Schizosaccharomyces pombe: one gene and its partner. Each later gene encodes a partner of the first gene's protein in a complex. Each region holds a gene or a part of one and is shown in the gene's direction. Other genes may lie near its edges.

Region 1 (5,448 bases):
GAATGTATCCATAGTCTTTTTTCTGATAACAGCTGTTAAATGTGTGTTTATGGGGGGCAGGTGTTTTAGACGATGATTCTGTATTGACATATTCCGTAGTAGAATCGTTTTCTTCTGTTTTAGTAATAGTATGAGTCACATTTAAAACACCAATATACTTTGGGATAAAGGGAAGCAATTCTGGATGGCAAGCTTCAATAGTTTCATAAAACGTATTTTCATTTCTTGTAAGTGGTTTGCAAACGGCTCTTTTAGAAAACCGGAAGAAAGCCGTATGTCCACCGACTTGATGTTTGAAGGGTTCCAATCGTACAGTAACCGGATAATCAACATTCCAATGGAAAAAAGGATGGTCTTCAGGAGGAGATGATGAGACAGATGATACAGATGATCGCGGGGTGGATGCAGGACTTTGATAAGAACGGGATACCGACCTTTCAAGCTCAAACGAAGCATCAGGTAGTAAAGGGAGGTGTTGAGATGACTTTTTAGAAGGATTATGTGGTATGTAGGTGGCTGTGGTTTTAGAACTACCACTATCTTTTCTTCGTTTAGGAGCTGAGCTCCGACCACGAGATGATCTTCGACTTAGTGATGTATCTTTTTCGGAAATAACTTCATCTAAATCATGCTGAGCACCAACACTTGGTGATCCAGATTTGGAGAGCCTTTCAGAAACAGATTCAAGAGGACTCGACACGTTGTGCAAAGCAGTATTAGTACTGTTACCGGTTTCTAAGTTATTGGAGGTAGAAGACTCAAAGAGACGTAATGACCTGCTTGCCTTTCGAGACGGATGAGCAGAATGAGCACTTGCCATATCATCAGCTTCAGAAACGGCTGAAGACTGCAGCACCGGTACTGGTGATTCAGCAACTGAATAAGAGGAACCACCTAATTGCAAGTCAGCTAGACTCTTGTGAATTGAATCACTCATATATTCAACAGGGGTGTGTGTTCTCAAAGGGGTTTGTTCTTGTGAATTACTTCTTGTTAAAATTAAGCGAGGGACATCTTCCAAGCTCGTAGTTCGAGGGTCTACAGCAGATGAATAGTTACTTAGCCTTCTAGGCGATAAACTGTCTAATGACTTAGGACCTATGGATTCAGAATGCATAGTAAAATTATTGTTATCTTCTGATTCATCGTACAAGCATTTTAACGTTTCAGGACCTCGATCATGAAAATTCACGTCTCTGCCTTTACGTGAATTCGGCAGGTAACACTTTGGTGCGTTCTGCATAAATTCATAAGTTTATCTCTATTAAATTAATATTTTTCCTTAATTCCCCTTCAATTCCTCCAATTTGTCCGATTTTTATTAGTTTACCTTTCGCAGAGACCCGCTTTGGTTCTTGGCAAGTTTCTTACTTTGCTCTAGCTTACAGTATAATGAGGCGTATAGTGAAACTACTTAAATTCATTATTGTCAGCAATACTACACTACGCTATGATACACTACGTTGCGTATCACTATATGTCATATGTTGGAATACTAGCTAAGATCCGTTTATTGATAATCACGGGTAACTATCCGTCTATATACGTAGATACCCGTTGATAACAACTATTTAGAAATATTATAAATAGCGTTACAACTGAACTGAGGAACGAGGTTCAGTTATGAGCTATATTAGTGATAGGTAACATTATAACCCAGTTAATACAATACCTATACTCAGTTGCTACTTATACAACCTGCGTATTGTAATATAATAGATCACAAGGAAAACTCACCGCAGTTCTACGTATCCTTAAATCAGATACCAAACTGCGTAGCTTACAATTATTCTACTCTAAAGATCCACATAATAATACACCGTATCTGTCATTAAATTACGCATTGTGTCAGCTATGCAATCATTAAAACACTTAATGATACTTTAGAACTGCGGTGGGTTTTCCTAATATAAAAAATAATGTTAAATAAAATTCTGTTTTCTATACAATAATAAATATATCAAAATATTAAGAGATATCGTATAGTATTATATGTGCACTAAAATAGTTTACAATCAGCTGAGGAGTACAAATCAAACTTCATCAATATTTTTCTAATTAAAGAATAAGTACTTTAGAAGCAACGTATGTTCACGGCCGAAAGAAATGTTGGTAAAACACAATTATAGGTATAGTGATTGTTAACGTATCGTAAGTATAACGCACTAGACGTTAATTATATATTTGTGCAGTACAATGGATACCCTTCTCTTAAATTTCAGAAGCAGAGATCAGAAATTTAACACCAATGTTTACCTCAAAAATATGCCGTCTATAGTAATAGGCAATATTACTTCGAAGAGTATTGTTTTTGGGGAAAAGGAAAAAGCTAGCGATGCCGCCCGTACGTGCTGAAAAAAAGCGGAAAACTGATTTGATTGAACAAGTTTGCGTTACAAATAAAGCAGGGGAATTAGTAGATTTAGAGGACGTTCTAGAATATGGCCCTTATTCATTAACAGGAATTTTATCTTCTGAAAAGGATGAGCAAGAACCATTGTTTGATGAGAGCATTGTTCTGGGATACTCGATAAAAATATCGCCTGTTTGGACATACAATCTAAAAGACGTTCCTGAGAAAGAAACTATGAGCATATGGATCGTTACACCTCAAAGAAGATACGGAATTTTGTCTCCTTCTTCTGAGTATAAAGCCATTTACGAACAGATCAGCGAGAAGAATCGATTGTTTTACCTTATTAAGACAAAATTCAAAGATGATATGATATCTGGTACGTTAGAAGATTACGATAATTATATCGAAGTTTTAAAGGAAAAGCTAGAGCTTCCTTCTTGTTTTCAAGCAATTCTCTTAGTGCAAAAACATATTCGCTTTCTGTTAACCCAAATGGTTGCGACTTCTTCATTACATGTATGGTCTGAATCACCTTTTTTTATAAGAATTCGATCTTCATACGAACATCTGATTTTACAAATTAATAAAAACATTTACAATGCTCGTCAAGAGCGAAAGAAATCAAAGTTATCGTCAAACAATCCATCGGACAATAATACTACTATGAAAAGCTCTTTAAACCAAGCTCTTACTTTAATTAATTTACCCGAGCAACCGTTTAGCATTTCCTCTCCCACAGCAACACCACAACTAGGAGTTGTAAAAAGAACTTCTCCATTACGGTTTCCTTTGAATGATATTTGGCTTTCCGGTTTAAGGATTGTTGATCCAAATATTGAATCGATATCATTATGGAAAAGAATACAAGTTTCAACCTCTCCGAAGCATCAACGTTATATTAGCCTTCAAGAAGTTTGCAGCGTTATTGCTCAACAGCTACAAATAACAAATTTGGAAGCTTTGAATAAACTTTCTTCCCACGGCGAAACCCTTTTGCAAATTATGCATACTGCTTTCACGTGGAGAGGTACTAAGCTTTTTAATGATATTAAGCACGCAATTGGTTTTAGATCTTCTGTTCAACAAGCACGATCTCAATTCCGTGGATATTGTTATGATTATTTATTCATGCATTGTAACAATGGAGAAAAAACAAGTCTACATCTCTTGAGGACTCTAATATGCATGAAACTAGATTTCTCAAATGCTCAATTGGCGGCCAAGATATTATTTCATTTCTTGTTATTTGATATTGGATCAGGCCTTTCTGGCTCAGATTATACATATGAACAATACATTAATCACTCAGCTGTCGCTTTCAGTTTTACGGAGGAAATTTTTGAAAAAAATTTTGTTACAGTTCTTCCTGACTTTGTTAAACTTTTTTCTATTTCTTTTGGTTATTGGCCTGCATTCAGCTTCTATGATGAATTATTGAAATTACTTCGCAACAAATATCCCAAAGTATATTCATCAACTCCAAATTTATGCGATCAGGTATGGCTGGATCGAACAAATTTATTCCCTTGTAATAGGTCAACGAGGTCGACTTTACCGTATAGACCTACAAAACTGCTCGATTTAGCTTCCGCATCTTCCTGCTTATCCAAAAAGGAAACAGATTTTAAACAAGACACTGGATTATATTCATATAACTTGGAGAAAGTTGAGGCTTTAAAAGTTAGTCCGGATTTACAGACTGGTATTTGGTCATGTCCAGTACAAAATTGTTTGTATTTTGCTGTTTGTGACAACCCGTATAAACCTTCTCAGGTCATTTACGATCATCTTTTAGGACATGTAGATTCCAAGTTTATATTTAAAACTCCTTCGAACAGTGTCCGATCGTTTACAAATAAACTTGAACACATAATGTACAACATAAATTAATGATAGATATGATGATTTTTACTAGTAATTAACAAAAGACACACTGCATTAAAGTTAATATATAGTATGTTTATAAAGGATTACAATTTTACATGGCTAATGTCAAATACACTTTACTTTACAAATATCATGTGTTCATAAACAATTTCAAAAACACATTTTGTAACAACAATTTGATACGCTTATAAATGTGCCTATTAAAGTGTACAAATAGCTGAATTATTTGTCAAATGTAATATAGGACGATCAAACAAAATCAAACACCAACCCTTTACAATTGTAAAGTTAATGGCCGTTCAAAATACCAGAACCCATTTTTGATAATAACTGAGACCAAGCGATAAAATAAAAACAGAGGAATGTAAACGCCAAGAACTACTAAATGTTCATGCGTAAGGAAAACGAGCAAAAAACGAGTATTTATTTTAGAAAAGAGCAATACTATTAAAAAATTGTTCCAGAAAATACGGACCATACGCGACGATTACCCATCTTTTTGGTTTTGTAAACGTAAATAGAATCATCTAATCATGAATCAGTAGGAGCAAACATGAGTATGATGAGGCTCACTTCTTTGACATAAAAAAATTAATGTGATAGGATAATATCCTAAATTCGATCCCACTCATAGATAGAAGAAAGTGTAATTTCAACTCTAATACAAGAATGGAGCCAAAGTAAACAAAGGAATGTACAAATAGGCAAGATCCTGTGAAAGAAAAGTACCTGTAAAATAAGGATTTTATGATATAAAAGGACAAGGTTGACAAATTAAATCAAATCATAAAAAAATTAAAAAATAAAACAACATTTTCATTTTTTTTTAAGAAACACGCAGTATTTTGGCTTAATAAATCTTTTTCTTTTCATCAACGGAAAACTTGCCCGGTCCAGTGTTGACGAGATATAGGAGACCACCAACAATAGACAAGGTTTGGAAAAAGTCGTAACGATAAAAGTCACGATAGGGACTTTCACGAGGAACCGACCAGAAGCTGTTGATAATGAAATTGGCAACAGATAGAATAAGAACGAGGACTGCAGCGAAGAATTTAGCCTTAAAACCAATGACCACCATGGCACAGGCTGTAACAGACAAAATATGAACTAGAATTCGAGTCCAAGAAATCCCACTTCCTTCCTTAGCCAAAAGACCCAAAAACATAAAGATCAAAAGAACACGCCCAGCTAGTTGGAAATAA
Region 2 (5,049 bases), 400 kb from region 1:
AGGCTCGTGATATTTCAGGAGAAGAGCTTTCGAGCTATGATGTTGTACTAACGAGTTACAATGTAATTGAATCAGTTTACAGGAAGGAACGCAGCGGATTCAGAAGGAAAAACGGTGTTGTAAAAGAAAAGTCATTACTTCATCAAATGGAGTTTTACCGAATTATACTTGATGAGGCCCATGGTATCAAATCAAGGACTTGTAACACTGCCAGAGCTGTTTGTGGCTTAAGAACGACAAGAAAGATATGTCTTTCAGGAACACCTTTGCAAAACCGTATTGGAGAATTATTTTCACTTCTTCGGTTCCTACGGGCAGATCCTTTTGCTTACTACTATTGCTTGCAATGTGAATGTAAATCTCTGCACTGGAGATTTTCCGATAGAAGTAATTGCGACGAATGCGGCCATAAACCAATGAGTCATACTTGCTATTTTAACGCTGAAATGCTAAAACCAATACAAAAGTTTGGATACGAAGGTCCAGGAAAGCTAGCTTTTAAAAAGGTGCATTCTTTATTAAAACACATTATGTTACGTCGAACAAAATTAGAGAGGGCTGATGACCTTGGATTACCTCCTCGAGTCGTTGAAGTGAGGAAAGATTTATTCAACGAAGAAGAGGAAGATGTATACCAATCTTTATATATGGATTCAAAAAGAAAATTTAATACATATCTTGCTGAAGGTGTCGTTTTGAATAATTATGCAAACATTTTCCAGCTAATTACACGAATGCGCCAAATGGCAGATCATCCTGACCTGGTGTTAGCTAGCAAACGAAAAACAGTTGATATTGAAAATCAGGAAAATATCGTCTGTAAGATTTGTGACGAAGTCGCTCAAGATGCTATAGAATCACGTTGCCATCACACATTTTGTCGACTCTGCGTTACGGAATATATCAATGCAGCTGGTGATGGAGAAAATGTCAACTGTCCAAGTTGTTTCATTCCCTTAAGCATAGATCTTAGTGCCCCTGCTTTAGAAGATTTTTCTGAAGAGAAGTTTAAGAATGCATCGATTTTGAATAGAATTGATATGAATAGTTGGCGTTCATCTACAAAAATTGAAGCATTAGTTGAGGAGCTTTACTTACTTCGTAAGAAGGACCGAACACTGAAGTCGATTGTTTTCTCTCAATTTACTTCTATGTTAGATCTCATTCATTGGCGACTTCGAAAAGCCGGGTTTAATTGTGTAAAGCTAGATGGTGGTATGACCCCCAAAGCGAGAGCAGCTACTATTGAGGCTTTCAGTAACGATATTAATATTACCATTTTTCTAGTTTCGTTGAAAGCAGGTGGTGTTGCTTTGAACCTTACAGAGGCATCTCAAGTGTTTATGATGGATCCTTGGTGGAATGGAGCTGTACAGTGGCAGGCAATGGATCGAATTCATCGTATTGGACAAAAAAGGCCGATAAAAGTAATTACCCTGTGTATTGAAAATTCCATTGAAAGCAAAATTATTGAACTACAAGAAAAGAAAGCTCAGATGATACATGCAACCATAGATCAAGACGAAAAGGCTTTGAACCAGCTTTCTGTCGAGGATATGCAATTCTTGTTCTCAAATTAGAATTTTGTTTTTTTAAAATTAGCCCAAATTTTGGCCGTTTCCTTTTTATATACCTGCCATATCTCCCTTTGCATTTTTTTTGTTATCCTAGTTTTTTGGACCGTAATTCCCTAAGTCAGTATATGCGTTTTGGAAGTTTATTTATTTTTTTGGGGATTCCTATTAATGGATATAATTTATTATTGAGTTGTCAATAGAACGGTTAAAGTTTTTTAAAACAAATTAAACATAGTTAAGATTTTATCGCTTCAATGTAAAGTCATTAACTTACCTTTGACTGATAAATTTGTAATAATAGTAACTCAATAGATAATCATTATATCTTCAATTTTAATATAATATTTTCGATTTTGGAATGTCTTTATACTTTTTGGACTTAGTAAATTCTTTATATCAATCAGTGCCTTAAACTCACTCAGCAACCCATAACTTCTGTTAAACTAGTGAACTTGCACACTGAAGGATTAAAAGTAAAAAGCCCAATAATTTCTCAAACAATTTCCTATTTATGGCATGACTAATAGTTCACCACGGGTGAAAAGAAGAACGGATACGCAATATTTGCATTCCGTCTCTTCTAAATTGCCCAAGGTTGACTTTGACACAAATAACGAAGAATTTTTTGAGGAAGAATTTGAGATTTATGATCCTTTTTATCGCGCAGAGCTACCTTGCCCGAAACCGTCATTATCAATATCGAAGCATTCAATTGCAAAAGTTCCATCAAATGTAAATAAACGATTAGAATTGCAACTTTTACTAACGTCTGGGACATTCTTACCTAATTCACGTCCTTATTTGAGTGAAAGAGTGAGAAAACACACTCATTTACTTTCAAATAGCATTACAGGCGATGATAAACCATCACTCATTCATGTTGATTTTACACCAGAGGAATGCTTTATTTTACAAGAAGCTAAACTAAAATTTGGACCGGTAAACAGTGTTCAGTTCAATGATGCTTATTCGACCCACATTTCTCCAAAACTTCCTGGACGAGCATATGAAGATTGCCAGAAATTTGAAATTGATAACCCCAGCTTGTCTCCTGTGGACAAACATGGGGCCATCATTTTACGAACATACAAGAAGAATAAAAAATTACTTCCAGATTACTTAAAATCCTTTTACAATGCAGGCTCATCTTACTTCCAAAGAGAACAAGTTCATCAACTTATGGACGGGGAATCAGTTTTCTTTTTAAAACCTTGGAAACATTTCAATGAAACTAGTGGGGATACAGTGTGCGTTGCATATAATCCATTGTGCGAAAAATTTGCCTTAGGCAGCACAGCACAAGATGGTGCTTACAATAGACTAGGCAACTTATGGATTGGTGATTTTCACTCAGAAACTATTCAGTCATTGGAAAGCCATTATAAACTTAATCAAGTAGGAGAAAAGGAATACTCTACGATATCAGATTTGTGTTTTTCCAAGGGTAATCTGTTTCTTTATACAGGTGCATTCGACAATGCTGTGAAAGTCTGGGATATGGAAGGAAATTTATGTGGGATTTTTAATGCACCCACAGACTATATTCACAAGCTTGCTCTATCTGATGACGATTTACTTGCAGTAGCTTGCAAAAATGGTTATGGGTATTTATTGAGCACTGACAACTCAACAGGAGAAATTCTCACATCAGCTAATTTAATTTATCCAGAAGCTCTAGAAAAAGGGTACTCTGCATCTTTGATTGAATTTTCCAATTTTTTGGGAAGGTCATCTGACAAAGTCATTATTGGATATGATAGTTTTCATACTTCTAATAACAGAGGATGTTTGGCTCTGTTTGATGCTTCCACTGCCAGCTTCGTTCAAAAATTCAACACCGCTGACGAAGCATTTACCTCCTTATATATGCATCCTTCTCAAGTTGGATTTGTCGCAAGTAGCAATACTTTGAGCAATGGAAGAGTATATTATTTAGACACAAGAATGTATAAGGTTTGTCTCAACTTTACGACAACGCAAAAAGACATTAACCATGCCACCATAAGTAACTCTGGAATCTTGGTAACTTCTAGTGGTACAGATAACCAGACGTTTGTTTGGGATTCGCGTAAACCAGATAAACCTCTTAGCTTGCTTAAGCATGGAAAAACCAAAATGATACATTTTGACGGGGCTAATGAAGAGGAAGTCGATGCAGGTATAAATATGGCACAATGGCAGCCTAAGGGGAATTTGTTCGTTACCGGAGGCAGTGATGGCATTGTAAAGGTTTGGGATTTGAGATTGAACAATCCATTCATACAAAATTTTACGGAAATGAATTCAGCCATAACTTACGGAGGGTTCAGTGAGGATGCTTCAAAGCTAACCGTATGTTGTGTTGGAGGGGACGTCAATATGTACAGTTTGGGGAATGACAATGGTAATAAATTCGGAGAGTTTCGTATTATAGAAAATCGACTTTTAACCTGAATTGAGGTTTAAATACGAAAAGGTATATGTAAAGATGATCAGTCAATGGAGATTCGCGCTAAGAAAAATTTTCTTTATTAGACGACTAGGATACAGAGAAGGTATAAAAGAAATAATGCTCAGCTAGTATGAATATTTAATCGAATTCCTTTTCGTGGGTGAACTGGCAAGAAAATTAAAGACAGCGATCGATCCGAGAAATATTTAAGAACTGAAGAAGGCCAAAAATTTTGCAATGATTCTAAAGGATAATGGAAAATTAAACCTTAATCTCAGTGAAGGTAAAGTCAAGCTGATTATTGAATTGACGTTTACAGCAAGAAAATTTTAATAATATCTAATATGTTTCTTTAATGATCAACTGACTGGTTTGATAACTCAAAAGCAAAACATAGTAACAAACAAATGAGCTTTCACGGTTAAAGGATGAAAAATGTGTTACAAATTAAATTAAAATATCAAACATAGATAAATTTAAGTTTAGCTTAGACCCGAAACTCTTAATGTTAACAGAAATGGAGATTTTTTATGGAATGTTGAATTAACTCTTCAAGCAAACGTAATTAGTTAACTTGAAAACATGCCGTTAACAAAAACCATAATTTAATCATCAACTCACCTTTTCAATTTAAAAAAATGATGAACAACTACCGGAAGCTTTTTTGTTTACAGCTTTGGTGTTTACATATTCATGTACCACTACACTTGGCTGCACCCAGCTTGCTATTCGCGTTACTACTAAACAATATTAATTTGTAAACAATAAATTATGCCTAATACTGAAAGTGAATTGAACGAGGAATTTTCTAATGAATTTAATATTCCTCCACCAACTGAATCCTCTTCAAAGGAGGGAAATAGATTTTTAAACGACTTTCGAGTTGAATTCGAGAAAAGAAGAATAGAAGCGAGAAATAGAATATTAGAGAGTGAGGGAAGGGCCCTTGAGAACAAAACTCACCTGAATGAAGAGGAGATTCGTACAAATGAGCGCGTAAAAAGGTTTCAACGTCGAGTGGATGAGTGGACCGCGTTGGAA

What was found.
Region 2: raf2 (region 1) and raf1 share a complex: the UniProt entries of both Schizosaccharomyces pombe proteins name them as parts of the clr4 methyltransferase complex.

What each region holds. Positions count from the first base shown.
Region 1 is NC_003421.2:498,524-503,971, forward strand, and holds raf2 (CLRC ubiquitin ligase complex subunit Raf2), read left to right. Parts: upstream 1-2,241; 5' UTR 2,242-2,335; coding exon 2,336-4,246; 3' UTR 4,247-4,357; downstream 4,358-5,448. Other genes in the region: kcs1 (inositol polyphosphate kinase), read right to left, coding at 1-1,243; erv29 (cargo receptor protein), read right to left, coding at 5,094-5,448. UniProt on the Schizosaccharomyces pombe protein: Component of the Clr4 methyltransferase complex (ClrC) which contributes to the establishment of heterochromatin by specifically methylating histone H3 to form H3K9me.
Region 2 is NC_003421.2:99,216-104,264, reverse strand, and holds raf1 (CLRC ubiquitin ligase complex WD repeat subunit Raf1/Dos1), read left to right. Parts: upstream 1-2,000; 5' UTR 2,001-2,093; coding exon 2,094-4,010; 3' UTR 4,011-4,549; downstream 4,550-5,049. Other genes in the region: rhp16 (ATP-dependent helicase), read left to right, coding at 1-1,580; protein meu23, read left to right, coding at 4,780-5,049. UniProt on the Schizosaccharomyces pombe protein: Component of the Clr4 methyltransferase complex (ClrC) which contributes to the establishment of heterochromatin by specifically methylating histone H3 to form H3K9me.